2 linked regions of the Drosophila melanogaster genome follow. The protein of the gene in region 2 interacts with the protein of the main gene of each other region in a pairwise test. Each region holds a gene or a part of one and is shown on either strand. Other genes may lie near its edges. The genes, in order: pdm2 and Sox102F.

Region 1 (16,962 bases), on a different chromosome or scaffold from region 2:
AAGTAGACAGCGCGGAACAATGAAAGGCGGCAATCGTGGCTGGAGTCCAGCTCCTCTGGTTAACTCCTTCTGTAGCCTCTAGGCCCCCCGACCATGGTTATCCCTTCATCATCCTCTGTGCGTATGTACATCCCGATTTCCGAGCGCTGTTTTTTTTTTTTTTTTTTTTTTTGGTTTATTTGGGTAACGCCTCTGATTGTCGCTGATGAATGCTGCAGCTGTGATTCGTCCAGGGAATGGAAGGCATTCGGCTTGGAATAGGCAAGGGAAAATAGGTTTCAGTCAACCAGGAGTGTTCTATGAAGCTTTAGAGTGAAAACATCCATTTTAAACACTTTATTGCAATTGGTAAAATTTAAGAGGCAGGAAAACAGCGCTTGTGAGCTTTCTTATATTTTTTTGAAAACAATATTCATACTCAAGAAATTTGATTAGACAGACATACCTACTATTATATTAATTTCACCGATTAGGCCTTCTTATTAAGAAGTAAATTAGTTGTACAATGATTGAAGCAATCAAGCTATCAGGGCCTCTTATTCCCTAATAGCCAATTTGTTCATAATCACAAGCAACCAGACGGTTTGCATAACTTGACCTGCGTTAATGTCAAAAAGCAGAGAAAGTACATTATGTTCTGATTTTTTAGAAATATTTTCATTCTACCCTTGAACCCATTGCATCTAACCTTTAACCTTATCCTTTGATTAATTCACCGTGAAAATTTGATGACGCGGGCAGTTATCTATAGCATTTAGAACCTGACCTCCAAAGAGAGAATTGACCTAGGTTGACCTACCGTGAAATTTGGTAGGTTTTAAGTGTATATGACAGAGCGCAACAACGGGCACATGAAATGTAACCAGACGGTTTACATAACGCAGGACATTTGCCAAATCGAGTGCAGTCGATGAACCCCATAGGAATGGATGGCCAGATACAACGATACAAAGATACAGAGATACAAGTTACAGATGCGGAGAGAGTGAGAAAGTGCCGACTGCTAAATACTCGTACTTGCAGTTTTATGAGCCAGCGGAAAAGTGAAAACTGGCTGCAAAGAAGGAAACACAATACAATTGGACACAGTCGCTGGCCAAGACGCAGGAGTCAAGGACATGCCACAAATCCGGGCAGACAAAGTACTGGGTTGGGGGTGTGGTTTCCCTCCCCCTGCGAGGGCCAACACGAAGGTCAATGGAAGAGGCCACAGTGCAAGTGAAAAATTCGCGCGAAAAAATAATCAAGTTTTGCAGCGAAAGTGAGATAAATAAGTGTTGGCCAGATGAGGTCAGCCAAAGGGGTGGGACAGGTCACTAAATGGGGGTGGTGGCATGTTATTGAATTCAACAGTTTGCACTTGTTTTGGGGAACATCTCTAGTTCCGGGGAACTTTGTCTTGGGCCTAAAGCAACTTACCGACGGCATTCGCAAAAGGTAATTTACTCATTCTAAAATCAGAAATTTGGAACTTCGATATGATTAAAAAAAATACAGTAAGTCTAGAAATATTTATCAGTAGATACAGATTTATCTAGGATACATTAACGTTGTTGTTTAGATGAGGAAAACTGATGTTAATGGGTTTCACCTATTACTTTGGTATAAGAGCATTATATGAATAATACATTTCTTTTCTAACAAATTTCACGTATATTTTTGTGGATTTTTTGACGAAGAAGCATAATTTTAATATCCAATTATCTTTTCAGTTGCTTCAGTTTTAATTAACCCACACCAAACCAAACTCAATCCGAGGCGCATTCTAATCAAAAATTATTAGGTGCGTGTACAGAGAAAGACCATGAATGAATGAGTATGAATAAAAAACATAAAAAAAAGAAAAATGCACTGCAGCACGCAAAGAAGAAGGGGAGCCTTTAATGTAGAGTTGGGGGAGGCAAACTGTTTTCGCGTCTCGAAGGCGACGGTCGCGCGCATGACTCGTAAATAAAATTGTAGCCACAAGCAAACTGAGTACTGATCTTTTGGGATGCACTTGAAAAAAACATGGTTACCTATATGCTATACTTCGGAAAAATAGCAGTCTTTGGAACTTTAGGGCTTAACAAATATTAATTGATTAAATGTCTTGTTCTATTGAAAAGTACGACTTCTTTTCTAACGAATATAAACCTCGAGCTTTGATAAAGCACTAAACAATTTGATAATATTTTAGTATATTTATTTTGTTAGCGCATACTTTGGAACAGAGAGGACTGAACTCTACTAGCGGAAGCCAGCGAAGATCGGACCGCACAGCAGCCAGCGGATTGGGCAAGGTTAGGATCAGCTTCATCTTTTTCGGCCGGTAAATTGCTGGACTCGGTTCTGTTGCAAGACCTTATCAGATCGCTGGGAGGCTGCCCGAATCGAGTCCCAGATGTGCTGGTGGCAAGTGCTCCCGATCCGCAGGGGCGACGGGGCACCGGGTTTTTGGGAATCTCGTTGTGTGGGAGCTGCTACGTAGCCATTTACACGTGTGCATCCTCAGTTTTTCTCGCTGGTGCGTGTTCCATAATATTTAAAAATCGCAAAAAGTTAATTGCGAAAAATTGTGGCTGGCTCTTTCATTTGGTTCGCTTTCCATTTTTTTGTTGCGTGAGCGAAGGATAAATGATAGTGATAAGAAAGGCAGCCGGAAAAATGCTTAAGCTGATGCCAGCTTCAAGTTGTTTGGTTAGATGTTCAACATCAAATCTTATGATTGAAAAAAAATCTGTAGGCCTTACCAATTATTTATTACTAATAGGAAGTTACTTTTGCATTATGTTAAAAGGGATATAAAATGCATTGGCATTCGAAAGGCCTTTCCCACTGTTTATTCAAAACCAAAGTCTAGTATTGAACTCAATTAAAATCGAAAACATCAATACTTATCTCAAACTATTGATAACGCTGAACCCAATGCATTATGTTACTTTATTTGCTCTGCTCTGCTGAAAGTGAACCAAAACGACCCGCAGCTAAAAAAAAACCATACAAAGCCAACAAAAAACGAAGTAAATATAAAAATAAATAAACTAAAGTGAATCGAAGTTAAGGTAGGGTCTTGGAGGAGTCCAAGGAAAACAGCAGGAAGGCCTCCCTCCGGCGGAGGTTACTGCCACACCACGGATAGTGGTAAGTGCCGGGCTAAATGGCTTCCCCATTAAGGCTCATTTGAAATCAGACACGTCCGATTAAAATCTCATTTCTCACCTTGTGGTCCGTTTCGACTGCAGCTCAAATTGGAGTTGGGCTCAAGCTCAGGCTGAGGCTAAAGCTAAAGCTGCGACTTCCATTTCGAGGTATTGCACTCAAAGAAAATATTGAAATTTTATATACATTTTTTGATCTATTCCAATGTTAACATAATATGCATTACATTTTAAACTGAAATTAAATCTAATGGCACAAAAAGTATGCATCTTAAAGTATTTTCTAGCTTCTTTATATAGAGACCAAATTTTCTACTGTTACTACTTCTTCTACTATTATTTGCCCAAATTTTCGCTAAGTGTGCTTTCGTAGGACTGGCAGTCAGGTATGGGGAAAGGTAGAGACAAAAAACAGCTGCAGAAAAAATCATATTTAGCTGGCGAGCAAGGCAACAACTTTAACTTCCAGTTTAGCCACCAAGGTGGCCAATTCTGCAGCTCCTGCCATCGATAGGCTGCGATAGAGCCCACCGAAGGTATTTCCGAAACATCCCGAAGGCAGTCACTATTTCACGCCTTTTTGCCACTTATTAAAATAGGCAAAATGTCTATTAGGCCGCCAGTGAGCAGCCGGTGGGTAAACCACATTCGTTTTTATGTGGGTGGCTAAAAAAAAAAAACACCTGGAAACGGTGAGGGAATGGAATGGAAAACCCACTGGTATCGTGTCATGGTGCCAACTGGGATTCTCATAATCGCTTCGATTCTGCTTGTCTCTCTCCCAGATGGCGATTGTTAGACGTCTGATCTTCAACATCTCTGACGAGATACCACCAAGAGGGAAGAGTGTGCTGGGAAAATGTTAAAGGAATGATAGGAAAATTATTAAAAGTCATTTTAATAATGTATGTAATTACTTCCATACACTTTTAGAACCCGAAAACAATAAGGCATATATAACTTAAAACTCGTACTCCACTGCCACTGCTCCCCATTCCATTGAACCATTAAAAACCTTAATAATTTTTCTTGGCTTGTGCATCGCGATAAACACGCAAAATCCGCTCCACACACTCAACACCTTTTTGTTCTGGTTCATGGTCCTGTTCCTTGTGGCCAAATGAGATTTGAGCCGAGCCACCCATATTCCGCAATGAATCGGATCGTCCGTTGTCCCCTTTGGGCTATTTAAGCAAATGATCAGCGGCCACAGAGCAGCCGACACGCAACGCGCCCCGTCTTCCCCCGCTCCGCCCGCGTCTACCACGAACTCTTGGCCAAGTGTGAATTGTTTCGTGCCCAGAGCTAAGTTGGCCAGATAAGTTCAAAATGCAGGTAAGGCCTATAAATGGTTTCTTTAAGACCGCAACTTTAAATACCCTCAAATTAAGATTTCTTTCTTTTATTCAGTTTAAGATAAGTTAAGTTAAGTTTAAGATACACATTCTTAAAATATTATAGGTAAAACATTAAAATTTCAGTTTATTTCCCATTCTGTAAGTGTTTATAAATAACTTGATATTCCAAAAGGCAAGCCACTTCACTTTGGTATTCGTTAACAAATCCCTATCAGAAAAATGCTTGAAAGGGTATAAAGTTTTGGCTTAACTTGCAGCTGCCTCAGTGCAGGCTTTTTGCATATGAAAAAACTGGGGTCGAAGGAACGAGGAACCGAGGGAAATTGGCGAATTCTCTTGTGGTCCACGGGCTGGCGTGCAAATTCTTGACGTTTTTTCCCACATTAAGTGCATTGTTTCAGGGCTACCGGGCTTTGGTAGTGGTTCGCTGGTTTGGTGGCTCGTTGGTTCGTAGGGCACCTGAGAGATCTGGCCCCATGCAAAACAGCTTGTTAAGCACTTGTGCCTCCAACAAGAACAAAGGCACCAACACGGTTCCAGATTGTGTGCCCGACTTTTGGCTTGTGGACCTCTTAAGGCCCCAGTTCTTCGGGCTTATTAAGCAAAGCTGAAAAAAGGCCAAGAGAATGGCTTATAAAAAAGGTAGCAATTTCCGCGCTTAACTCGATCACGCACTATTATCATAATCAGTTTGGTCAAGGCGGAGTTGCACTCGTGGCATCATTATCGCTATCAAACTTTTATACGATAAAGAGTTGTGAGCAAACTGAAGAGATATTCTTATGATCTAAAATCTAAATGTGCACAAAAAAGGTTAGATAAAAAATAAATAATATGTGACATGTACATATGTTCTCTAGAAGTACATTTAAATATATACTAAAGAATAAATATTTGTTGGTTTCATTTCAATTATAAAATTGATTGCCGTTCCTACTCTTATCAGTGAGAAAAGTATAAATTTAAACACACCTTTTTTAACCTTACCCTGGAAATAAGAGTAATTTTCCTATTAAATTCAATTTCAGTTCCTGCCAACGTAAACACGAAAAGCACATTACTCATACGCCCTGTGGCGGCCTTCTGTTTAGCGAAATGAAATTTCTCTCCCACATTTCATGTAAAGGAAACTACAAAATAAACTGTAGCACACTCCACTTGAAAATTCAATAAAAAAAAGGGAAGAAATTGATCAAAATTGAAAATGGGCAATAGCTTTGATCTCCTACCAAATCCCCTCCTTCGAGCTTAGTACGTATTTTCGGCCACTCTCATGCCAACGTAAACAAATATAGAAAAGTTTCCAACGCTCGAGTGGCCTTTGGTACAGTTCGGTTCGGTCTCATAAATATTTAAAAATTAATTTCACAATATATTGAGGGGCCTGCGCTGATGTGTGTACTTGTCTGTGAGCGATTTTTCAATTTCATACTTCATTTTATGGCATAAATGCCAAAGTTTCAGTGAGGCTGGCAAAAAAAGAGGGAATATTTGGCTTATATAAGCTGCCATCATGTTTTATAGTTCCATTTCGTATATGCATTTGTGGGGAGGTTCTCTAAGGTGCAAAAGAGGGAGCAAGCGTAATTATATACGACCTCCCACTTCAGGACAAGGCAACGCCTTTTATACTCTAAAACTTGTGTATGTAGAGTGACAGCAGGGAGGTAAAATCAAGGCGGAAAAGTGGAGCAGCCGAAGATGGGGAGCACTACCAAGCACTACCTTTCATATGTAGCACTTTGGTCCAACGTTATCGTATTTTATGTGCAAGTGCTTCGTTGTCCTGCTACCAGGACCTCTATTTTTCGGTTTGCCATGCACACAGCCCCCATTTTCACCACCCCCACAGGTCATGTAGTTTTGCAACATTTTCTGCACATTTGTGCAGTTTTTCATGTTCCATGCTCTCATGTGCACCAGCCAGGATATGAAAATTTTCCAAGCGCAATGAACGAGTCTTGTGGACTGTGAGTGCGCGTGCGATAGAGAGGCACGGCGCAAGAAGAGAGACAGACTGAGTGCATCTGTGTGCGCATTCAAGTTGGGAAAATTGTGCACTTACATTATCATAATGGAAATGCTTTTGACTTGAGTGACCAGGGTTGCCAACGAGCAAATAATTAGGGGATTTCATTGAATTTTATATCAGTTGTATTTATTTCATTAATACATAGTAACTAAGGAATGCACACTTTAATTTGGCTACAAACACTTTATGTTTTCTTTATTATACTTATATTAATTTTAATTACTTTTCTTGGGATTATTAATACATCCAGATTTAACTAGTCAATTCCTAATTACATTTATATATCTATAAATAGGAACTTAGGTTTCTTTATTACTTGGAAACAACATTTTCTATTTAGCAACAAATTCAAATCTTCAACAGTTATTTGATTATAAAGATTTCTGTAAAGATACATGACTGACTGTCGTGGTGAAGATGTGTTATAAAATTCATATATATATACATAACAAATATAAAAACGAAATATAGAAACATCCCGCCATTACTCTTTTCTATTAGACTGGCAACCCTGTCTTAAGCACCTCTATCCTGCAACTCTGTACGTAAATGCAAGCGAAGCCAACTGTGCCATATTGCCCTGCACCTACCCGCCCCCTCAAGGCGGTGGTATATACAGCACCACCCCCTCTGGGCGCCCTAGGCAGCCATTGTATTCTGATTGTGCGCCTTATGGCCCAGGACTCCTTCAGGGCTCCTATATATACACAAGTGTGTGTGTGTGTGTGTGCGAGCGTGGAGAGATGGAAAAATATTATTTTTCATAAATTTTAAAATATACCATGGGCAGGACTGGGTGAGCGAGTGAGAGGGCGAGCCTTGTGTGTGTGAGCTTCTTTTGTCCTGCTTCACCCGTGTATAACGGTAAATGCCAGCCATACGTGGTTATATATTTGTACAATATACATATGTACACGTCGAAGGCAAAGTAGAGGAAAATGTATGCAACATTTTACAATGCAAAAGCCATTTACTTGGGCAACGTAGGAAAGCCAAGGGAGATGGAAAACTAAGAGCCCCAGAGAGAAAGAGAAAAAGGACCGTTTGCGTGTTGGTGTAAGTGTGTGCCGCCTGCATGTGTGTGTTTGCTCGTGAGGCAGTCAGCATATGAAAAATGAAAAGTCACAACTGCGAAACGAAAAATACGAAAAGAATACCGTTGAAATACAGCCTTAGGAAAGGAAAAAAAATATTTCTCCTCTTTGTTTCCCTATATACAACAAATACCGCCCGCAAGCATTTATATACACATAAACATCATGGGAAACTTTCAACTTTTATGTCGCCTCGTCCTCGGTGGGTAATGTAAATAAAAAGAGACAGGAAATGTTTGCGATATGTAAGAGCACACGACACAAAAAAAAAAGGAAAAGTGCAAAATTCTAAAAAGTTTCCACAGAACGCGGGGATGATATGGCAGGAACCATAACTTAGGCACCCGTCAGCTTAGCTTTGTTGGTTGGTCCTTAGGTGCTCGCCCTTCAATATGAAAAATGAGCCAGGGAAGGCAGATGAAATTTTGGGGCTGGGCGATTTTTTCAAGTTTTATGGGGCGTATACGGAATGTGGAATACCAAATGGAAGAACTAAGGGCACAGTTCAAGAGGTGGTTGTCTACTTTTTCGAGCGTGTTAGTTAGGTTCTGCATATGGTAAAAATAACATTTTTTAAATATTCAAGTAAACACCTGAGAACATATGAATTAGAGCTACAAAAACAATATTTTTTTCATATCAATAAAGAAAATTACATTTTTACTGCTTATAAGAAGAATTTTTTAGTTTTTATTATTTACCAATTATCCTTATATAGGTTTTTTGAACGTACACCTATTGTACACACAAGTGCTGCAAGTAAAATCTTCAAAAAGTACGCTCGCATCAGTTTTACTCTTCCCCAACTTCTTTATTTCATAACTATCTTTTGATTACCAAATAGTTACTCCGTGAATAGTTGGGTCATACTCTTCAGAACCTACCCCCACAAACTAAACCATTTTCAGACGAAACCCATCGATTAGTTGGATTTAAGCATCTCGAAACAGCGACAACTTAAATGCTTACAAAACAAGAATAGTGGAAAAGAGGATGTAAAGGAGGCTGCAGAGGAACCAAAACACAAGCAGACGGGCAGACAAGTGAATAGAAGTGACAAACCAAAAATAAAAGGGCCAAGAAGGGAATTTCCTCGGCGCTAATCAATGAAATTAAAGCTGCGGCCAAGGCGAAATATCTTTAAGGACTCACTACTGAGGGGGGGCGGCATGGGGGAGTGGAACATATAGAATAGTGAGCGAGCCAAGCTACTGCCAACTTTAATGAACGGAAATTAGCAGTCAAAAGGTAAAAGCCCTCTCGCTCTCTTTTTTTCACCCGCAGCATCTGGACGCCGCGGCGAATTCGCGCACATGCACACACAATGGCCAACGGCGAAATGGAGAGAGCTCCCCACGAAGAGCGAGCATGCGCCGCAAGAGAGCGCCAAAGCTCCATGCCGATTGGCTGCCGGCTGCCCACTTTGGGTGAGTGTGTTTGTGCGGGAGAGAGCGCGCTTGTTGGATATATTTCCCCAAGATTTTCTACCTCTCCCTCCGCACTTTCTCTCTCTTGCGTTCTCTTTCTGTTCAGGCATAAACAAACCATTTTGAATAAAATCAACAGCAACAACAGCGGCAACAACTACGTTGTTGCAACAATGTGGATCCCAAGTTGCCGAGAAAAATCAACTGATTCTACACTTAGAAAAGTTTTATATATTGGTTATAATACAATTTCATTAAAAGCCTATTAACATTATAAATTTACTTATAATTGTAAAAGAAATGTATTTAAAATACGCTTAGAACCTTTATATATAAATGTATAAATTATAATATATTCTATTTAGAGTAACAATAAAAACCAAATTAAGTTATACCAAGACGTGTTTGTGAATATTTGTTAAGATAAAATATAGAATTTAAGGTTTATTTCTGTTAAATATTAAAATGGTACAATAGAAAATGACTGGAATATATATTATATAATTTTTGTAAGTGTATGGTTACTACAGTTGCTTGTGGTGCTTCTTCTTCCATTTATTCAGCTAGTACTGCTCTTCTTCTAGATGCTTTGGCCTGGTCAAGTTGCATTCAATTGCAGTTTTTCAGTTGCCACTCCGTTGGCCGATTGTCGGTTGTCGTCCTCGCGACTTTTCTTGTTTATTTTTTCAACTAGCTGTGTGTGCGTGACAGCAACAACAATAATCTGAGGACGCCTCTTGTAATTATTTTAATTTATGCGTTTATCGCTTTTTGCCTTTTGCCGCCGTTCAGCGGATTCTGTTGGCTATCTGTCTGCATTTGGTTCGTTTTTTGCCTTGACATTCGCATTTTGACAGCACGGCGAATAATTCTCGGTTCTGCCATCATTGCAATGTCAATTTTTTTCATTTTTCATTCGCTGATATTCCGACTTGTCCACGGGGCGTATGCGTAACGCGAGTTGTGTTGTGATTTCTGGCAAGTGCAATGCCGTCGGAACATTGATTTTGAAAGGAATTAAATCTGTTTTGCCCATAAAATCATCTGCTTTAGTATTATATGTTTTATTTTATAAAACTTATTATTTTTATAAAAGAAAGAAAACGGTTTGGTATATAAGCGGCCATAAAAAAATCAAAAAATCTTGTATCTTGTGCCGAATAAATAATGAATCATATGATGAGAAACAGTACTTGAATCAATAAGAATTTTAATATATTTTATTATATTTTGCAAACTGAATTACTTGTATACCCTTATTCGGTTACTCGTATGAGCCTGACTCCTCTTCTCCTTCTCAATTCCCTTCAAGAGGAAATTTTCATGCCGCTCTAAACTACAAATCAACTTAGGAGCCCCCATATTATTTCTTCCCTCAACGAACAGAAGCAGCGGCAGTCAATACATACATAATTCGGAATCCGATAAGAGCCACCCACCCATATATACATATATAGAACACTCACACACACATATGCAGTACTATTTTCCACCCACACAATACAAGCTTTTCATTTTAAAACCTCCTGTAAAAAAAAAGAAGCAAGAGAAAGAAAAACGAAGTCAAACGCCCCAAAACACCCACGCACCACCCCCTCCACCTGTTTTATGGCTCCCTTTCCCCACCCCCACAGACACACACACACACACAGAGGCACATCGCAAACAGACCAATACACTGGCACACTCACACTCACTCACTCTCTCCAACATCTTCTATAAAAAAAAAGTATTTTTTGTACTCGCTTGACATTTTGTGGATACGTCGGACGTCGTCGGAAGTCGTCGCGAACTTTGCTTCTTTTTGCTCTTTCTCTTTTCTTTAGTCTGCTTTTTTTTCACTTTTTACTTTTTGCCCATATCTCCTTGCGCGTTTTTTTAAGTCAGTCGTTTGTCGGAAGTCAATCAAAAAGCGTGTCTCGGAGAATTGTCCCAAAAGACAGAGATCACCTCACCTCACCTCGACGGCCCACAGAAAATGCAGAAAGGGCGTGAAGCTGTCGCCATTCTCGTTGGCAATTACAATTTATAAAAGTGTGGCAAAGTAAACAATTAAATTATAATTCGTGACAGCAGGCGAAAACCAGTAGAGGAAAAACCAGTAAGGAGGTGCGCCATCTTCCAGCCCAAGTGAGTTTAACTCTTTTTTTTCTTTTGTACCCACTGAGTGTGTCAAGGAGCTTGTCTTGTAACGCCCACACTCAATGCGATCGATGGATCAGCCAGATGGATGATACAGATGCCGCAAGAGAGAGAGAGAGGGCAGAACTGTTTCTTCTGGCCTGTCAGATTCCTAATGAGCTTTCCCAAGTGTCTGCGCGTATTTCAGCGTCCTTAATTGGCCATATGTGTTTGAGGGCCAACAAGTGTCCCGATATGGCTGACTATGGTAGTTGGACGGGCGAACTGAATCCATCATAGAGATCTTGGTCGGGCTTTAGCTAATCATAACAAAATTGTGACCATGTTCTGGTCAAATCTTTAACAATGGAAAATCTTAAGGTTAGATCAAATTAAGATGCAAAATGTATTAATAACAAGCAATTATCTTCAAAATGAGGCAATATATATATATATATATTGAATATAGTATTTGATTTAAAGGATAGTTTAATAACTTTTTCTAAATTTGTTCCATTCCATATATTTTTCATAAACCTTCTGTGATTTGTGTACCCTATCTTAGATGTGCCACATATATATTTTTATGGGTTTTTTACAATTCCACTTCTGGCAATGATTCGATCGATAATCACGACAAACAATTTCTCAACCGAAAGTCAGGCAAATCACATCATCGAACTAAGTTCCCTCGTATCTTTACAACCGAACCGTGTACACCCAATAGAAAATTATGAAAACACAAATTCCAAATTGAAGACAAACACAATGGCAATGTTCGGTATTATATGATCGGCGATACGTTTCCAATTGGAGTAAGCAATTGTGTTTAATTTTAAAACAAGATGAAGTTAAACAAAAATAGCGAAAGCCCCGATATTGTCGGCCCAATAAGGAATTACCGTGCCGATTGGGAATTATTGAAAGTAGCACCGAGGAATAAGTGACTGCATTTAGTCGGCGTTCGCTTTGATCATACCGGCAGATATATCGATTCCTGGCAATTGGTTGCTGACATGCAAAGAACATAATTTACCGACTGGCAAAATTGATAAACAATCTTCGTGTGGCACTTTGGTTGCGGCCAATTTGCCGTCGATACTGACAACTCAATTGATTTGTTTACAAGTGCCATTAATGTTAGTTGCCCCGACCCGCCTCTTCGTGGCTCATATGTACATAAACCCGTTTGGTAATGTATGTAAATAACCATTTCCATAAACGCACTTGCACTTTTCAGCACCGTATCTTATCTGGCCAAGTTGACTTGTTGTTCGGGGCATTTGATCGTTGCGCTTGTAGTTTAATTTCCCATTTCTATTTCCTTTGATTTCATCGCCTTTTGCCGTGATTTTTCGACACCCACCCACCCACTCCTTATCTCATTTGACTTCAATTTGTTTTCAATTTACAACAATTTCGTTTCAAACCACATTTGGTAAATGTGCCCATTTTCATTCTCCCATTTTTTGTTTGCATAATAATACAAAGTTTAGGTTTTAGTGCCTTTTATGGTGTCTACTGCTGTAAAGTTGTATACAACCACTTTTCACTTGTGGGAGCTGATTCGACAGGCCATGGGAAAATTTAGAGAAATGTTTGGACTGCTCAATAAACGAATTTAAAAGAGCAAACATTTAAACTATATAAATTGCGATATGTACTTTTATGACATGTTTACTTTCGAGTGGTATGGAATTTCTGTAATTATTTAACTGAATGATATAGTTTCTCACATATTAACATTTTCATTCAATGCTAGGTACAGTAAAACTTCTAATCAGTAACTTACTTTACATTTACCTTTTAGAAGAGAATATTAACTTTTAAACTTTTACCCTTATATATTTTTTTATCAAAATACAAACTTGTAATCGCAGAATGGGCTGACAATGCAATATACTCATGAGCCAGTTAATAAACTAAACTAATTAATCTCAGTTATAAGGTATACAAACATCCGTTCGATTTCAAACAAATCCACTGTTTCCACCTGTAACGTGAAAAGTCACGTGTACAGGAATGTGGATGGGTCAGTTATTTTAAGGGAAAAATCAATTACTTCCGCTATCGAGTCGTAAAGATCACAGCGCTCTATGTATTTAATAACAGCTTTTTAAAGTGCAGTTAACAGCAAATTAGGCTTTCAGCCGAAGAAGACACTTTTAATTATCAACCCATTTGCAGGCAGCAAAGGAGGCAGAAGGAGGAATACATATCGCCAGCGGTCCATGGGTCAATATCATAATCTGAGGCAGCAACCGGAGCGGCAAACAAGTCGCCACAGGCAGCAAGGAGCAGTTGAGTTGGCCATAAATCAAAGCGACGCAATTTGCTGCTGACGAACTGCAACGCAACAGCGGCAACAAGAGCAGCAGCATCAGCAGCAGCAGCAACAACTATGCCATTACTGCTGGCAACAACACTTGCCAACAATTCCCATCATCAACACTTGAGCACAACAGCAACAGAGACAGCAGCAGCAGCAGCAACAGCAAAAGCAGCCGCAACTGCAGCAGCAGCAGCAACAGCAACCATGTTGCTGACTTCGCCGACAGCAGCAACTCATTGCCTTGCTGCTGCAACATCGGCAGCAGGTGTTAATGTTCAAATTACTGGCCAAGGCGTTTCAGCCACTCTGAACGACGATCAACTGCAACTGCCGGCTAATTATGCCGCTAACGTTGGCCATTTGAATGGCTTTAACCCTAAAGACAACTGCCCACCAGTTCCACCCACCAGCGAGCGGGCTTTTGAGGGATTGCTACGCCTGCCGCAGATACAAGTCAAGCAGGAATTCATGGAGTCGCCGCCAGAGAGGCCTAGCTGCCATCCCATGAACCACCAGCAAGCACCAGCCAATTCAGGTGAGTTGACCTTTTTCTCATCGGAATGGCCATATATTATAAGGCCATATTATAAGCAAATGCATAGGTATTCTTAAATTATGAAAATGTTGTAAATGTTTTTTACGAGTTGCCAAAGCCTTTAGGAGATGGTACACGTTATTAAGAGCTAAATATCTTCATTTATTCTATTAATTGTAGCACTTAAGAAATCTAAAATGTATATATTATACTCCACCGCTCATTTTAACACTACCTTTGGACCCCTTAATCAAAATAATGCATTTTAGTGCTTAAATATAGTATATTATAATATTTTCTATTCTCAGTCTCCATTTAAACGACTGTAAGTTATCCACCTTGCAAGCCCCGCCTGAGTCAATAAAACCCCATAAAGGAGTTAACCCTTTTCAGCCCACCGCCCAGCATCCACACAAATGCATATGTGTATTTAAAAACCCATTAAGTGAAAAATGAGGTATTTACAACGTGTTAACAAGAGCACGGCCATTTTTCATGGTCTTCGGCCCGAAAAAAAAACAGGCCTCAAAAAGTGGGCGAAGCGCCGTATGCCAAAGAAAAACTCGTGCCAAACGCATGCTTATGGGATTTTCAATTTTTTATGCATCGAAACAGATTTCATTTTTTATTGGCAAAGGGGTCGTCGTCATCTTGATAGAGCCGAGAAAAAGGATGCGACACAAGGGACCCAGACCCGGGCTAATATTGCAACAGAGTGTGGTGCCACGAGTGCGAACATTTATGAAGATTGAAAGGGTTGTCAAACACTTCATCCGTCTTAAGGGACAAGGACAAGGAGAACCACAAGGGGTTCAAGAGGGTGCCACACATCCTGTTGCTCCTGCTGCTCAATCCAAAAGGAAAAAGGGGGTTGCAACATCTTGTTTTCTTTCGATTATTGAAATTGCCATTTTGCCGTTTGATGATCTCACTCGGGGGACTTGAAAACACTTTTCGTGACCTCAATTGTTATTTAAAGCCAACCGAGCCCCCAGACCCCAATTTACACAATATCCAATTTAAATAGGACTCATTACCATTCATCTTCATATGTAAATCCATTTCCTCTGGTCCAGCTCGGAAATGCTCACATGACATGCAAAACCCACAAAAAATCGAACCTCCTTAAGTGCGCAATTATCAAAAATTTAATGTAAAACAAAGGGTTGGAGCACTAAAACGAATAAGTTCAACACGCGACCGGAAATTAAGGTCGATTTAAGCAAATGTAACTCACCGAAGTTGGTTTCTTTGATTAGATTTTCTGTTAGATATTCGTGATATTCATTCAGTGCCGAGATCGTTAGCATTTGATGCTATCCATCACCCGACTCTGAAGCAAGCTTCCCATTACGATTTGAGCCATAATTTGCCATAAATGAGCCAACTCCATACAATGCCACATCTGCGGCAGATCAATGATGGGAAATGGTCGGACTAGTTGCTAGCTGCAATCCAAAGGTAGTGATTCCAATTCTAGTACGTTAGAAACTAAAAAAAAGATAGAAAGTGACACTGAAGAGATACATTTTTTAAACAATAATATTTTATTTAATGCTGCAAATGCAGCTCACAAATTATGTCTTTATAAAACAATATAAGAATACAATTCATGAAAGAGTTCGGCACAATTTTTCCATCAAGATCTTAGGAAGTAACACAAACACATGCCCATTTCCCATCTGCATAGGGGTATTCAAAGTAAATGCTGTTTATGCAGCAAGTGCCGGAAATGCAAGGAAAAAGAAAACATTCGGATGCATCCTCGTTTCCCAAGTTTGCTGCCACTGGGATCTGTGAGAACCTGAGATCCGGGTTAACAAAAGGGAAACGGCGTTAAGAACTCAAAGATTTCATTCAGAACGCTCTCGGATTTATCTCGCCAATCTCCGCCAGGAACCGAGATGAACTGTCAGACGGAGATGCTCAATGCATCGCCGCATGAATGAAAATAATTATGATAATTGCAACTGCCACGAGATCAGATGGGTTGGTTGGTCTAGGTATGTTTTGTGGCTTCCTCGGTTTCTCGATTCCCCGACTAATTGTAGGATCACTGGCAGCGGGAACCGCAGCGGCAATTCGATGGTTTTCAGATGAGGAAAACCCAATAAATCCATTGTGCGCTTAATTATTGTCGAAATTCAAATTGAAATGGTTGGGTTACCTGCCTTCTTCTCTACCTGTCCTACCTGCCGCATCATTTATCTTACCGAGATGCGCGAAATTTGAATGCTCAACGACTGCACCTGATCTCTCTATAAATGCATCTCCATATGATCGTTTCCCCATATATGTATGTATTCCCTCGTCATATATATTCTCATCAAAAAAAATGGGATTTTCTTGTGTGGAAATTAGATCCTATTTGGCCCAGCGTGTGATTAGCGCGCCCCTTTGATCCGCGCTGATGTGCTGCTGTCGGTTGCATTTGATTTATATTCAATTGAGATTCTCCGATGGAAAGAAGACAGGTTCTGCCTGCTCCCAGACGCAGCAATTAAATTCAAATCAAACATTTATTTAAATTTTATGCATCGGTTGGTGGTTGATTGAATTGCATTGAACTGGGATTTTCCCGCAGCTACTGAAGATGAGTGCGATTCGAGATGCTTGGAAAATAGTTTAATGATGAAAGAGCTATAAAGCACCTTACTAAAGAGTACACACCATATCTTAGGAACCATAATCAGGATTTTTAGTTTTGATGACGAATTCCTTCTTGAAAAACGTAGTTTCATTTTCCTTCGATTTCCAACATATTTGTTTATTCACCCAAAACAATTGGTTCACGTACTTTCGATCGTTCTGACTTCATGAACCCAAGCTGATCCCATTTCAAAGAAACCAAACCGGAAAGGCGTCAATTAGACAAGGCCCGTCTAATATTCCCCACCAAATTATGCATCATTAATCAATAAAT
Region 2 (16,962 bases):
GTGTGTGTATTGTTTGTTTGTTGATGGTGCACTTGTTTGGTCAAAAAGGCGCAAACAAAAGGCTGACTGGACCTCGCATAGCTTACAAAGGACTAAATTTTCTGCTCCGTTTATCCGGCTGTCGAGACTTCCATCCGCCGACAGGTCCATGTATTATTTATGTAGGCTTATGTTTGTGCATTTCTATCTAGCAGCAGCCTTCCGAAACAAGGACTGGAAGTTTTCCTATCATAAGTAAATATATACTTACTTATAGGCAAGACTCTGCTTAACATTGTAGGCATAACTTGACACTGGTTGGATTCATATATGCTCGTTTGCAGATCAGTGCTTGAGGATAAGTTTAACCATTTTTTGTTGTTTAAATTGATAACTATTATATGACTGCTAAAATTAAAACTGCGCTGTTTGAATATTGTTGAACGGCATTCCTTTTTCCACCCTTATACATTACTTTACAGACTCGAATTGAGCAGTAACATACATACGTTCAATATGTATATTCTACCCGATTTCAGTGTTGATAGGCACTTTCGTATAATTTTTGAATACCCCAAGAGCATCATTATGTTAAGTCAAGAATAAGCTAAAATTGCACTACAGGAAGCATTTCCAAACCCATAAAGTACACTTTTTGGTATATATGTACATATATGTTAACCTGAGCAATATCCTGTCGGTCCGAAAGGTTTAATTTTCAGAGCACTTTTGTTTATGTGACACTTTTACCACTGCACGACACGCACCAACATTTATTGATAAATATACTATTGTTTTGTGAGGACTAAAGAAAGATCTCAAAAGATTAAAGACTTCGTTTGAATGACTGCGAATCAATATGGTATTAAAAAAAGTTTCATCCCCTTTCAAGGTCTTCATGGCTACTGTTAAAATGTGGTAAGAAAACCGTCCAGAATAATAAGCCGACAAATGTCTTTGCATTTACGTGCAGACAAGGGGGATTTCATATACTAAGTATAGGACAGATGACGGTTTCTGAAAACAAAGTAATCAGCAGGGTGAACGAATAACACCATGGCTAAACCCAATGGGGTGCGACAAGTGTAATAAGCATGAAATGTGTCTCTCGGGTTGACCCTGAAAGGATGTTTAACTTGGTTTGATTTAGTTTGGCGTAGATTCTAGCCTTCATTTAGGAGAATTTTTTTAAAATGAACATTTTCTAAAACACAGGTTCTACAGCAACAACATTGTATAGTTTCCACACCCATTTGAAAGTTATGAGGCAACAAAAACATCCGCTTTCACCCATTTGGAACACTAATACTATACTTTAATTTTGATAAATATACGTTAAGATGACATGGCTTTTTTAATTTGTCTTAGTCGATCGCACCTCACACATAAAGAAGTTATGATAAAAGCAATTACACTTCCCATTATAAATTGCAAGTTTGACAAGCTTTTAGAGGTGCACTTTTTCTACTTACCCTTTTCACACAATCGATGCCAAGCTTTTTACAAAAATTACTAATCCATTTCTCAAGATATGATATCTGGAACAAAACGTAAAATCGTCTAAATAAGAAAATATTAAGGTTTGCAAGATTATTGATTTTTGGCTGTGTGGAGTTTAATCTTAGAATCATCAAAACTGTAAGAAAACTTTCTATCTCGGTTCTCCAACGCTTGCTTTCCTTTCAATCGTTGCTAATAATGTATGAAGTTTCAAGCAGAATGTACTTACGATAAAATTCATAACGCAATCTTTTTCCATATGGTGTCTCCATAAAAAGACCAGATAGGGACCTACTTATATTATTGCTATTGAATTACTTGAAATGTGACTATTCGGACATTCAATAGATTGAGTATTCATGGTTTCATTTAAAACTGTCGATGGCAGTAGCAGCTGTGCGCCAATCCTTTTGGTCTTGCATGAGAATAGAAAATAGAATGGAATAGTCCTTGATCATGAGGAACTTAATTATGCAAAAACACGACATTATGTATGAAAGTGATAGTAATTCGGTTACACATTTGCAACGGAGCAAAAGAGGCTTTGACTGTTTTAGCAGAATCTCTTACAAACCATAAATGAAGAAGAAATGTTTTAAAACTCGTTTTCCCTGTAGTGCAAAAACTAAAGACTTTTAACCGATTGACAGTGAGATGATTGCTTATAAACCACATCTGAGCTACATCTGCTCTGCATATGCAACCAACTCCTTTTGTATGCATGTACTAACAAAAACGTATAAATACATTCAAATCGCCCTCCTAACCAATCCCCTCTATACCCACTCCGCAAATGTGCAGTTTTAAAGTTATTTTTAGTATTGAGTATCGCCAGGTAAAATGAGTCACTTTAAAGTTAAAACGGTAAATATATGAGTTAATTTTAGACTTGGTGTTCATATCTGTCCTTATAACAGATGAGATGACACAAATATAATTAAAAATTAGCTTTTCTATTCTATTCGATTTTATAGAGACACATAGAGACAGAGACTAGTTATATAGTTATAAAGGCTCAGCTGTTGATACTGATCAAGGATATATAAACCTTCATTGCGTTCTGACTGATATAATTGTCCCTATGCAAAGGTATAAGAAGCGGTTCTCATTTTATGCATCTCTCTTCCACATCCTTATGCTAATTCAAGTTTGAAGTTTAAATAAATAAATAACGGGTATCTGATAGTCGGGAAACTCGACTACAGCGTTCCCTCTTGTTGCAATCTTTGGTGTTTAAACAAAATTCGTTAAATTGATAATGCATGTTTATATTTAAAGAACGAATATAAAACAAAAGAAAACGGTATAGTCGGGTTATTCGCCTATTCCGTTACTATTCTGTTATTATTCCGTTACTCAGCTATTGCTACAACAATTAAACGCGTGGCGGCTTTGTACGGTTTGGGTCATAAGAGTGGGCGTGGCCAAAATACCGATAGAAGTTGGGCAGAGTGCGGATGACAGTTTGTGGTCGTTAGATGGGCGTGGCAAAATAAATGTTTGAGAACCCGATAGACAAGACAAATAAAAAAAATCAAAACATTTTCAACTTTCAATTTCAACTTTCTAGCTTTTATAGTTCCTAACGCATACAGCCAGGCTAGAGATCCTGATTGAGATTCTGTATTGTTTATATGGTTGGTAGCGAGTACCAATATATTGTTTCACCCAACGAGTAACCGGTATAAAAACTATGGCGGTCACTGTTATCGGTCCCGTTATGCTAACTTTTCGCCCATGATCAATCTAATTGGTAATGTCTTCCCCTAATAAAATATCTGCCTTTCACATTCAGCCTTATGAACTAGCATTGCTAAAGGCATTACGTAAAAGGCTTGTCCATGTCGTTGAAAAGGGTATCACTTCGTTTTATAGTTTTGGCTTTATATTTGAGTACACTCGCACGAAAACGTGTTGTACTGTTTAAGAAAGCGAGTGACGATCGGCAACTAGATTGAAACTGCGTGTAAGACGAAGAAGCAAAATACAGCGAAGTGGTTTGGTTTGGTCCCTTACGTTTCCCCGCATCGATGAGATATCAGCAATGCATCATTTTGCGTTGGGCGAAGCCTCAGATGCAGTCACAGTACCGCATCTGCAATGGTCACAGAGTCGTTGACTTGAACTCTTTCTGTTTTTCTTGTTATCTTTGTTTTTTAATTTTTTTTTTTTTTTTTTTTTTTTGATGCGAAGCGCGGTGATGTTTGTTTTTCATTTATTTTACTCTTAAGGCCTTGAGCAAGAAGAGAAAATTGTACAAGCATACATATGTACGTTTGTTACAAAAGAAAATAAAAAAAATCAACTGGCCAAGCTGAAGTGAAGTGCCTCGACTATCCGATATTCCATACAGAACGAGAGCAATGGAAAACTGTCTATATTTGCCCGGCTAGTATTACAAAAAGTGTATAAAACGCTTAATTGTGCCTGTTCTCAACGAACGTAATAGACTCGTTTTCTTTAAAAGCAACAGCTAATGTTTTTACGCGTTTCGCGAATATAAAACAAAAATATAAACTTCGACTATACATTTGACAATCTAAAAGTTTTGATCAAATTGTATTGTTTCAAAGAAACTCACTCTGCGGCGATGTTATTGCACTCGAGAATACGAAAACAGACGCATCGTCTGTTGATTAAAATCAGAGTGGGTGGGGGAGTGTAAATCATATAGGACAAACAAAACAACTTTTGTATGCAATTGTCGTATTGACTTGATTCTCCTCACTCAAAGATTTTACCGTTGACATCATCTGGTCAAGTAAAAAATGTAACTCCGATATTCTTGACCATCAGATGCTCAGTAAATTCAAATCTATTACCTAGTAAGTGATAATACCTTAGGAATATTATTTGTCAATAAAGTTTTTCAAAGCCTTTGCAATCCCAGAAATTTTTTTTGTTCACAAACGGCTTCGAAAATGTAGAAGTGGTAGAGCGGCTATTTTAGACACCAGCCTTTTCTGCATATTTCTGATGAGAAGCTCTTTTATTTGTATTGCATTTTGTTAGTGGTTGTACATTAAACTCCACTTTATTTAATAAAAATATAATATAGGTTATAATATATGTATATGTGTAACAATAATTTCAATCATGAAATAACCCACGCGGAAGCCTTTCCTGTGTGTCTGTCTCATAGTGTGCGATACTCATCTATGTATTTTGTAACCAATTATAACCGAAGAAACGAAATTTAAACATTTTTTGAAATTTGTTACGTTACCACATGCAATTTAAAATTTTTAATTTTGTATTTCCACAAATTTAAGACCAGCGCTTAAAGTCTAAATCATATCAATCATATGGACAGATGGACGGACATTTCCAGATCAACACTGCTTGTCTTGATAAATTTATATGTTTATTATACTATACGATTAACGTATATACTTGTAACCACCCCTATGTGTAATATGGAGTATGTTTAAGGTAAGGTACAAATAGTTTATTAGATTAATACATTTCTGAATTGTTTTTTGTTTAACAATAATATTTAAACAACTAAAGCTGGACGGGCTGTTGTGGTTTAGTTACTAGCTTGCCAAAAGGCTACCTTCGCATCGTCGATCCGCAGATATTTCCTGTTTTATTTTTATTGATTTCTTGGATACGCATTCACCTGTTGATATTTCGACTCGGTTGCTTTTTTTTTTGTACATTGCCGTAAAAAACAACAGCATTAGCGTCAACTATACAACTAGTTTTCATGCAGCATTCCCGCCAACTGTCGTCTTATGTCCTCCCGGCGGATCGACGCTATTTGCAGCATGGCTATGTGGATTCGGGCTTTATCTATATAACCCAAAACATGTTTTTCACTGCAGTTTGCAAGATCTAGACGCTTGCGTAAAAGCATGTTTGCAGGGATGGAAATTAGTTGTAAGCTTTTATGAACCTACTTTTCAAATTAGATCCTATGGAAACGCAGAGTTATGTTGTTAAAGAAACAACATTATTTGAAACACTTTTCAACATTTAAATATGCACTCACTTAATAGGTAGTTAAACTTTAACAAGATCTATTAAAGAGACGAATAGTTATTTTCTATTTTTAATAACTTTCTAATTAAATTATGCACTTAGCAGATATAAAATATTTTCCTAGTATACTTTGTCCCAAATACGATGATCAATTGCGTAATATTTAATCCAATTATTATGAAAGGATGCCTATACGAGCGAAACTGACTCCAAGTGTATTTCAAGCTTCGGTCCCGAAAGCAAACTATTTTCTTGCTTAGTTCGTTGTTGCTAATTTTTCTGTGGGCCAGTTTTGCCAGATCTCTCAGGCAGAACTGGATAAACAACCTGTCATGTTGCCCCCGTACGTACTCCTCAAGTTAAAGTTAATGATCGTGCGTGCAAATGGGTAAGCGCTGTGGATCTTTTAAAAGTGCATGAAGTATTTCTGCTCAAAAATAACTATTCCATATACCTCCGCAATTGATAACAAGTATACTATTGTAAAGTGTAAGCTACAAACCGTACAAAGCTCAAGAAGACATCATTAAGGAATTGAACGATATATTCGATGCTTCACCATCTCCTAAACCATCATTCATTTATCTGAACTCTCAGAAAAAGATGTTACAGTTCTATAATCATCGTTGCGCTTCTTACAATAGATTGGGATAGATTTGCCCGAACCACAGCATTAAAGGTGATGCCTAAAAGACGGTGGTGCTTTAATCATTGTTTTGCATTTGATTGTCTATTTGATGTAACCGAGGAGCCTGCTAAAAACGATGCGCAACACGGCCTTTTGTTCTTATGGGCTCCAGAATTTATGGCGATCCAGAGTGACACCACGGGACAACGAGTAAACAATTCCAGTAGACAGTCGGAAAGCGGCAACAAAAGCAATAGCTCGACAAGTACAATTGTGTAAGATGTTCAATGCCCATATCATTAGTGCCAAATGAAAACTAGATATCGCGATCGAATTCGAGCGAATCAAAATCAAACTGGAGTCTTACTTTAAAGAACATAAATGTAGAATTCCAATTATTAGTATGTACAGGATTTGGAAATCCGCAATAAAATACATTAATATATCTACGACTTCGTTTCTGTCCCCATTCGGCCACGGATACACAAGCACATGCGACCTCAAAAACCAGTCCACTCTGAGCCATTTCGTATACGATCTCCAACTTCTTCGAGCCAGCTACTCATGAAGCATTCCTTCCATCCTCCAACCCATCTGCGACCAGCCCGAATTTCGATTCCAGTTCCGATCGTTGCCTCAGACCTCCCTCCCCTTCCCGAAAGATATTCTCGCGTGGCAATGCACCTGTCGCGACCAATGCTTGTTTAGAGCAGCAACCGGCATAACAAACCGCGATGATTCGGGAAAACTGACCGAACCGCGGGCCTAAGATCTCAGCTTTTGGAAGAACAATGCCAAAAGTTGTGGTAGGGGAAATCTTTTACGACTGTCGTATGGGGAATTTGAATAGTGTCATTGCGGGGAAGCATAGTATACTCACCTTTTCTTACGGAACCCGGTTGATATTATATATATTTTAGTTGTACTCATTTGACTAGGTGCATCAAGGATTGTATTATCGGCCGTGGGCAAGTTATAGATATTTATAGGACAAATATATATAAATGTGATGCGTATATTTATGTATATTATCTTATGGCACTTTGAAAATTCACTTTATTTTTCTGCTTCACATTTACAGCGCCCGATTATTTTCCGTTTGTTTGCCTAACGACACGTCGATAAACGTTTTGATACTTTGGATCATGGCACATATTCGGGAATTTCTGGGCCGTACAAAAACTGCCTAGTCGCTCTCACCCCTCGAGCTATAAGCTTAAAGATATACATTTTCCCATTTGGTTTGGATTTCCAGACAACCCATTGCTAGTTCCTAATACGCGTTTTGTGTAAAGACACTACTTGTGTTCATCTTCGTATCTAATCAAAATTCCGTTGGCTCTACCAATGATGCATCGCGTTAGTCCCCTCGCTCACGGAGCTTGCAAGAGTAATTTTTGATTCGCACAAAAACCGTTTTGCACTGTTCAGCGTGTTTGAGCTTAATTGATGTTTCTTGGCGTTGACTTTGGTCCGTGCTAGGGAAAATGTGAACTACATGGAACGGTATACTGCGAAAATATAAAATACACATACATCGCTCTGAGTCATCACTAGGCTCAGTGGACATTTGTAGTGAAATGATTTGTAGCTAACACTTAACACAAATGCACAACACAGAGTACACGGCAGATGCAGATGCACGTGCACCGCATTCACATGCAAAGTGTGTTGGGTCCTATAGTGGTGTGAGTGCACGATCTTAAGGCAGAACACCCTGAGAATCCATTGTGTACAACTTGTGTGTGCAACCAAATCTTTGCAATCGGTGCATTGCAGGCTTTGAGTCAAAAGTCATTCTGTTCCGACTCAAAGTCGTGTGGTCTTATGCAGCATAGGTTAGCCCGCGCACGTGGAATGTTACCACCACTGTGTAGCGATGTTCACTGGTCACTGATTCCAATTCCACTTCCATTGCTGTTGCCTGTTAACTGCATGTTAATCATATGTTAAGTTTTTACATTAAGAGAAATTTTTTGGACATGTTTGGTTTCTCTTTCTGAACGGAATTTTCTCTTTTTTTGCAGAGAAGCAAATAATGTTAAAGAGGCGTGGTTATTCAATTTGAAATTTGGTTTTGTGACTTGTTATCCAATCGCGGCTCTGCGTTCTGTCTGAAGTTTGGTATTCTTGCGCACGTCCAGTTATACAGCAGATACTTTGCAAATTTTACGCTTCGTTCTCCGTCTCCATATATTTTTGAATTGCAATTCCACGACTGTTTTCGTTGAGATATCGTAACGCAGGTTGAGATCGCTAACAAGATTTACTTTAAGTGTATAAAATACTTACTATACGATCAAGCGGAAACGTAATGATTATATGATTATATTGGAATATATATGATTTTGTCATAATCCGCATTTTGGGTATGTCCAAAATATTTTTGGTATATCAATAAAAATTGTACAGACAAATCAAATGGAAAAATATTAATAAATATTAATATTAATAAAATTTCGGACGGTTAGAGTGGCCATGACAATATTTTGAGATCTGCTTGTATTAAACTCAGCCCTGCATTCCGATTACAATCAAATCGATTATTCATTTATTGAATTTTTGAAAATTGGTAGGTGTGATCGCTTAATTCGATAGATGTCTCGGATTGGTTTAACACTGTGCTATGTTCAGTAATTTAGGATTTGGTAAAAAACGTATAAGTTCGTCTTACAGTAAATAACTATTTTAAAGAGTTTTTAGGAAGCTCTTTTTGATTTATAATAAGAAGTGGAAGATTAAAAAACATGTTATAATACATAAAAAATTTCCTGACGTCTTTATGTTCATTTGAGTATTTTAAAATAAAAATGTTTATAGCGGTATTCTTATAAGGCATTTAATTTATTATTGTATTGTACCCTTAAACATTTAAAACTTTGTCCTTGAACTACAAAAAAACACAATAACGTTTTAAACGGAGAATACTAATAATAATAATTTTTGTAGCACAGGCCCATTGTATAAATTTCGTCTTATATATATGAACCAAAACTTTTGCTTCCAACGTCGCAGTTTGAACTTTTGTTACCATCCCTATTATACATGTATATTTTATTCAAATCAAGTACTCAGTTTTCGATAAAGTTGAAACTCGGCGTGCGAGGGTTGTCCTTGAACCAAACCAATAATGTTTTAAAAAGAAGCAGAGGCAACACCCAATGTATAAATTTCGTCTTGTATATATACACAAGATGTTTTACATATTATTATATAAAAACCACAAGACATAATAGTAGCTAATAGTCCTGAGCTTACACCATGCGCTACTCAAGCCTGTTGGAATGCCTCTCCTCGGGATTTCTAACGCTGTACAGGTCAACATATGTAAGTTATTAGTAGAGATACTTTCTCAGAAATCGCCGGTATTTTTTCAGTTTTTCCAAAAATGCTATCCTGATTTGCGAGGACGATTGGCGTTGCCATCCCAAAATTTACGAACCGCTGCAATCAGAAATGAGAATGGCAGCCCTTTACTAGTGTAGAAAGCAGGTTGGCAGCGCATATAAACTGGTGAATTTACTTTAGGTATAGATAATTACCAACAGATGGCACTTTTGCTACTGCAATTATGACGGACACTAGAATATTATTCTAGTGTCTTTGGTGAAACAGTATTATTCTTGTCTCTTTGTTAAAACGGTATACTAGATTTGCTGAAAAAGAATATAACAGGTAGAGCCCTAAAAAGGATATATTTATAATCAGGATAAATAGCCGAGTTGAACTGGGCATATCCTAAAAGCGAGAAAGAATTTCTTTCCTGGTGTTGCCACGCCCAATATAACGTTGAAAACCTTGACTTTGAAAATTGTGCTGATATTTTAATTTTCATTAGTCTTCTAAATTTATATCCACTTGCAAAAAAACTAATTGCCACGCTCACACTTTTGAAATATAATTTCATAATTTTTTCGTTATATTATGTGCATTAGCATTTCAACCAAGTCCATTCAGCATCCACAAGCCGCTCAAACTGTCATTTTATACATTTTGGGTTTTTTAGATGAATTATTTTTATGCCAATTTCTGTCGATGTCCAAAAATGTTGAAATGTTATGTTTATCAAACCCACTAGCTGAGTAACGGGTATTTGATGGTCTAGGATCTCGACTATATCGTTATCCCTTATACTCGTAGAGTACGACTAAGAAGGAAGCGTTTCCAACCATATTGTTGACCCATGTTGCCACCCCCACTCTAACGCCCACAAACCGCCGAAAACGGTCACGCCCACACACTTTTAAACGATTTCAAATTTGTTTCTCATTTTATTCTCCTTAGTAGCCCAAAGTATCTGAGACCCATGCATTTTTGATAATTGTTATTTATTAATAAACAGAAAGATATAATTAAAATAAAGTCTTGAGTACTCATTTTTCTTGGTCAGACCCGGCATTTTGTGTGCTAAAGATTTGTAATGACTAGAACTGGAACCGTGCTGAAAATGTAACCTTTTTAATATCAAGATGACAGAAATTTGAATTGTTTTGTTCACTAAATTTATTTTGAAATCTATGAAGTTTAACAATATTTTAACATTTGTTATGCACGTTTAAATATTAGTCTACATTGAAAGAACTCTATTTAATAAATATAAATTTATGGTATGAAATTTTGTGGGTGGGTGGTCAGTTTTTAATATTGTTTGTTATATAACTTTAGACAATTAGTTCTTTTATTGTAGTTTCTTGCCAATGAAATTATCTTTTACTTTTGCGAGAGAATTTCTATTTTTGGAGGCGGCGTAATAGAGGAAGTGCGCGAAGTATTTGATGCATCTATACTTGCTCGTCGTGCAGCTGCGGCAATATACGACCCGTAGTACCTACTAAGCATGTGTTGATCAACCTGGTTCAGTTCAAGATACGCATCTGAAATGGGAACTGACAGGGTTGATGTTTTCGCAGTAGCCATTGACGATATGAGTGCAGTTTGGGGCGCGACAATGCACTCTTGTATAGGACATTCCTCAAGTGAGCTTGACTCCTCGTGTTGGCTACTACTGCTACCCAAGGACCTGGCTGCGGAGCTGGCAATTGAAAAGTTGTGCTGTTCAAGGTCTTCTGGATCGTGGTCGGGGTCATGATCGGGATCGGCATCAAATGAAGATAGCCTGCCATCGATTAGGTACGAGTTATTGTCCTCAATGGAAAATATTTGCTTCAAAGTGCCCCTTGTTTTTTTCCTGTCTTCCCCATCCGTATAAGAATCAGTATCAGGAATAATGCTATCGTCTACCACGTCGACATTAACTTCTACATCAATATCAGCGTCTATGTCTGCATCTTGCACAGGTTTTTCTAATCCCAACACAACTTCGCGGTGTATTGTTTGCTTGGTAATGACAGTATGATGAGTTTGAGTTGTTGTCCTCGCCGAAGTGGTTGGCGTAACTGACGACTCCTGGTCTTCAGAGACAATATCAACGATTTGGACATCGGGTGCCAGTAGCGAAGCCACGTCAAACTGGCGCTTCCGCGTCTGCGAAAACATATTCGCGATTGTTGTTGTCGTGGTGGAGTTGATATAGGCAAAGTGCTGATGATGGGAATGTGGCTGCTGGAGCTGAGTTGGTTGGATTGTCTGATCTAGGTTATTCGCCTCTTGTCGTTGCATTAACAAGGCTGGATCTGGTGGGGAATAATGCGTCATACCAGGTGCTGAGCTCCTGTTAAAGAATTGGCCGATATAGTGCTGGTGGTATGGATAACCCAGGGCAGATAGTTGCAGAGCAGACTGGGAACTCGGTGGGGGTGGAGTTGTAAGATCCAAAGGCGGCGGGCTGGGCGAGTCAGTGCTGGCGTCATCCACCGATAGACCCATATGCTTTCGGACCTTACGCTGCGCCTTGCGACGTCTAAAATCCCCTTTGCGAAAATCCTCCATGTTGGCTGGATGTATTGCCCAGTAGTGCCCTTTGCCATTTGCACTTCGTCCAGATTTGATAAAGCAATCATTTAGAGAGAGATTGTGCCTGATGGAGTTTCTCCATCCCGGCCCCCGACTTCTAAAGTAAGGATAATTATCCAAAATATATTGATAAATGTCTGAGAGAACCAACTTCATATCAGTTGAGCTCAATATGGCCATGGCAATCAAACCAATATAGCTGTGTTGCGGTTTAGGCTCCTCAGGTTGAAAAATGCGTTGCGTTTGTGGGAAGAGGGAAATTGTTGAAAGAGCGGCCATTCGATTAACTGATGGAAGACTGCCTGAGCCATGGTGTCCGTAGGGGCTTAAATGCAACCAAGGAGCACTAGCTCCACTGCCACCCGTCCCACCATATTGGGGGCAGCGTAGTCGTTCAATATTGAGTGCATAGTTATACAGCTGGAGGCGGTATTGTTCCAAAGTCATCGTCGTTGATTGAGCTTGTGAAGTTCTTGTCGTTCCAAGTGGGTAGATGTTGGGCAAAGACGGCTTGGGAACATTGCTGTCCCTTGAAGACGTTCCCTGATCCTGGTCAGCAGTGGTCGTCTGTAAAGCACATATGTCAGAGTGCGCCATTTCCTACTTAACATTCACACTAAAACGACATTGGTGACACTATCGAAGACCATCCAATTCGACCTGTTTAAAATAAAATAAGTTTATTATATTTACATAGGCAACCATATAAAAAAGAAAATGATACATATATACGAAATCGTCGGCATGGGAGCCTTCGCCGTTTGTGGACGAGACTAAATATTTGCAGCCTATGGATGGAAACTGTTAAGACTTATATAAAAATGAGGAAAAAAAAGTATTTTTCAAAACTGTTGGTGTGGCAGCCTTGGGCAGTTTGTAGTAAAATTTTCGAAACAAACTTGAATCATAGGTCTCTAGAATATGCATGGTGAATCTCAACTTTCTAGTTTCATGTTATTGCGCGTAACTTCATAATTTTTCTGTGATTTAGATGTTGTGAATAAAATAAGAAAACATTTTTTGTTTGTGTTACTTGTTGGCGTTAGAGTGGGCGTGGCAAAAAGTTTTAGGCAAATCGATAAAAATTAACATGACTAAAAAAATATTTAAAAAATCAGCACATTTTTCAATAGTATGGGCAAAGATTCTACTACAATATTCTAGTGTCTTTGGTATTGGCGTGTCCGTTTTGGTCGGTAAGTGGTCGTTAGAGTGGGCTTGGCAAAAAGTTTTTTGGCAAATCGATAGAAATTTACAAAACTAATAAAAAATTTGAAAAAATATTAAAACATTTTTCAAAAGTGACAGTTCTGGTCGGTTTGTGGGCGTTAGAGTGGACGTGGCAGCATGCTTATCAGTTTAACAAACTTGAGTTGCGTCTATGTCTCTAGAATCTAGCTACTACAGTTCTAGCTCTTAGCTTTTTACAGTTCCTGAGATCTCGATGTCCATACGGACGGACAGACGCACAGGGTCAGATCGACACGGCTATTGATCCTGATCATGTTACATACTTTTCAACGAATCTAGTATACCCTTCTACTCTACGAGTAACAGCTGACTCGGCAATTGAAGTAAAGGTACATACAGTCATGGTCAAAATTATTTTCACAAAGTGCATTTTTGTGCATGGGTCACAAACAGTTGCTTGTGCAGCAAGTGGGGGGAGGTGAAATGCAAAAAAACTTTTGCTTTTGCAAATTCAAACCTATGCAGAGTCAGATGAAAGAAGAATTGAAAAAATAACTGTTCCTATGCGCAAGGAAGAGGCAAATGAAGAGATCTTTATCAGTTGTCAGAAGTATTTGCACACGGTTTCGTCGCATCACAATTATTTTCACAACGCAATTTCTTCTTCAGTGATTGGTTTAGAGTGACAAGTGCCGGTTTGTTTGCTTAAATACATTTAAATTATTGAATAAAAATTAGATTTAATCATTTTCCTATTACAGTTATTAAATAAAATGCCCAAAACAAAAGAGTTAACAGTTGAGGCCCGGGCTGGTATTGTTGCTAGGTTTAAAGCCGGTACACCTGCGGCCAAAATAGCTGAAATATATCAAATTTCGCGTAGAACTGTCTACTACTTAATAAAAAAGTTTGATACAGTTGGCACATTAAAAAATAAAAAAAGATCAGGCCGAAAACCTGTGCTGGACCAAAGGCAATGCAGGCAAATACTTGGAGTTGTGGCGAAGAATCCTAGTGCCAGTCCGGTAAAAATTGCCTTAGAATCAAAAAATACAATTGGCAAACAAGTTAGTAGTTCTACAATTCGTCGCAGGCTAAAAGAAGCTGATTTTAAGACATACTTTGTTCGCAAAACGATTGAGATCACACCAACCAACAAAACAAAACGTCTTCGATTTGCGTTGGAATATGTTAAGAAGCCTCTTGACTTTTGGTTTAATATTTTATGGACTGATGAGTCTGCATTTCAGTACCAGGGGTCATACAGCAAGCATTTTATGCATTTGAAAAATAATCAAAAGCATTTGGCAGCCCAGCCAACCAATAGATTTGGTGGGGGCACAGTCATGTTTTGGGGATGTCTTTCCTATTATGGATTCGGAGACTTGGTACCGATAGAAGGTACTTTAAATCAGAACGGATACCTTCTTATCTTAAACAACCATGCTTTTACGTCTGGAAATAGACTTTTTCCAACTACTGAATGGATTCTTCAGCAGGACAATGCTCCATGCCATAAGGGTAGGATACCAACAAAATTTTTAAACGACCTTAATCTGGCGGTTCTTCCGTGGCCCCCCCAAAGCCCAGACCTTAATATCATTGAAAACGTTTGGGCTTTTATTAAAAACCAACGAACTATTGATAAAAATAGAAAACGAGAGGGAGCCATCATTGAAATAGCGGAGATTTGGTCCAAATTGACATTAGAATTTGCACAAACTTTGGTAAGGTCAATACCAAAAAGACTTCAAGCAGTTATTGATGCCAAAGGTGGTGTTACAAAATATTAGTATTGTATTTATATAAAATAAAGAAATTCTTATGTTGAAATTAGATGTTAAGCTGAAATTTACTAAATTAAGTTGAGTGAAAATACTTTTGAAGCGCAATAAACATGTGAAAATACTATTGACAACTTGCATGCATATTTTCTTTTGCTTTAAGCTTTGTACTATGAACCGTTATCTTTCGTATTTCTTTTCGACTACCTTCTGCATAGATCAAGCTAAGCGATAAGAACTATTTCAGGCAAATCGGACAACAACAAGAAGAAATATAACAAAAAGAAGTTGAAGTTTGCAAATATTGTGCGTTGTGAAAATACTTTTGACCACCTCTGTATACACAGTTTTATGTATGTACAGCTGTGTTAATTGAAGCAGTGCTTGGGACCTACGAGTTTAAGATACAAAATCCTTTGATACAGTTCTAATGGGCAGATCCTGGCAACGTTTGGGGTTTTTTGACCATCCATCCTGTAAAACTTGCCAAAGCTGAGCCTTACACGTCGGGGAGTTCTTCTACTCATATTGTTTAATGTCCCCCACAGGTTTTCAATCGGGTTTAAATCGGAAGATGGTGCTGGCCACGGCATTACCTCTATTCTATTTTAGGTGAACCAATTCTTAGCCGATTTGCTTGTGTGTTTCGGATCATTATCCTGTTGGAATGTCAATGTTAAGGGCATATTCCATTCAGAGCATGACAGTAAGACATTACTTAGTATATTTACATATGTATGCGTTTTGGTGTATAATACCATAAATCAAATGTTTTGGACTCATACCATTGTAAAAAAAAAGCCTACACCAGGATTTTAGGTCCACCATGTTTTAAAGTCTTGAGTGGGTGTTTTGGATGGTACTCCGTGTTTGGCGATCGTCGGACATACTGTCGTGAACCAGTTCCACCAAATAGCACTATTTTTGACCCATCAGTCCAAAGGATATTACTCCATTTGGAGACTGGCCAGTTTAGGTAGGTTTTAGCGAAGCTTAACCTTGCCTTAATATGCCTTGGGCTAAGTGGGAACCTTTCGTGAACTCCTCGCACTACAATTTTGATTTAGTAGTCGTCTCCGAATTGTAAAAGAGCTGATTCTCAAGTTCGGCTCAGACTTTTTGACCCTAGAGGATGCAAAAGGATTGACATTGCTGTGACGAACTATGCGTCGATCCTCTATATCTGTGGATGGACGTATGTCACTACGGGTTTTGGGCTTTCATTCATATTTAATGGCATCGGATACCATTTTGGCAGAACATTCACGGGTTTTTTGAATGTCCTTATATGTTTTGCCTTCCTTTTTAAAACTGCCTCCCACATTTTTGAAAAATTGATCGATAGATCTTTCTATAGATTCATTAGTCGTGTAAATTTCTATAGATTTGCCAAAAACGTTTTTGAAGCCGCCGAACCGTTCACTCCCACAATATGGAACAATTTTTAAATTTTTTCTCATTTTACTTCCCAATATCTATCGATATCCCAGAAAAATTATGAAATTTCGAGTTTGCATTCACACTAGCTGAGTAACGGGTATCTGATAGTCGAGGAACTCGACTATAGCACTCTCTCTTGTTGTATTTTGGTTTGATTATGATGTGACTTGGTTGATCAGTTCCTCAGCTAATGCAAGAGGGTCTTATTACGACCATCTGTTTACCTTGCTGTGAGGTTCTGTAAAGTTTTTAATCATATGTTAATGTTATATTATAATGTTATAAAGAGGTGTTCAAAAGTATTTACACAAAAAAAGTATTTAAATACTTTTGACCACCTCTGTATGTTACTCCTCCACTACAGCCACTTTTGCTTTGGATGATCTTATCCAATGAAATGTTAAATTCAATTTGAACGGATCGTATTTAGAAATCAAAATTATAAAACGCGGTCCACAAAATAGTAACAAAATAAATATTAAAAATTTGTTTGAACTAGCAAAAATTTAAGAGGTTGACACGATCTTCCTGTGGGGCTGATTA

The links.
Region 1: the proteins of Sox102F (region 2) and pdm2 interact in a two-hybrid assay, tested with the Drosophila melanogaster proteins (one large-scale study listed by BioGRID).

Annotation. Positions count from the first base shown.
Region 1 is NT_033779.5:12,646,893-12,663,854, forward strand, and holds the start of pdm2 (POU domain protein 2), read left to right. Parts: upstream 1-10,272; 5' UTR 10,273-11,181; intron 11,182-13,359; 5' UTR 13,360-13,573; coding exon 13,574-14,039; intron 14,040-16,962. UniProt on the Drosophila melanogaster protein: DNA-binding regulatory protein implicated in early development. Involved in neuronal cell fate decision. May act as an octamer-dependent activator of transcription.
Region 2 is NC_004353.4:826,408-843,369, forward strand, and holds the start of Sox102F (Sox102F), read right to left. Parts: upstream 7,987-16,962; 5' UTR 6,972-7,986; intron 1,518-6,971; 5' UTR 1,452-1,517; intron 1-1,451. Other genes in the region: fd102C (forkhead domain 102C), read right to left, coding at 10,802-12,601.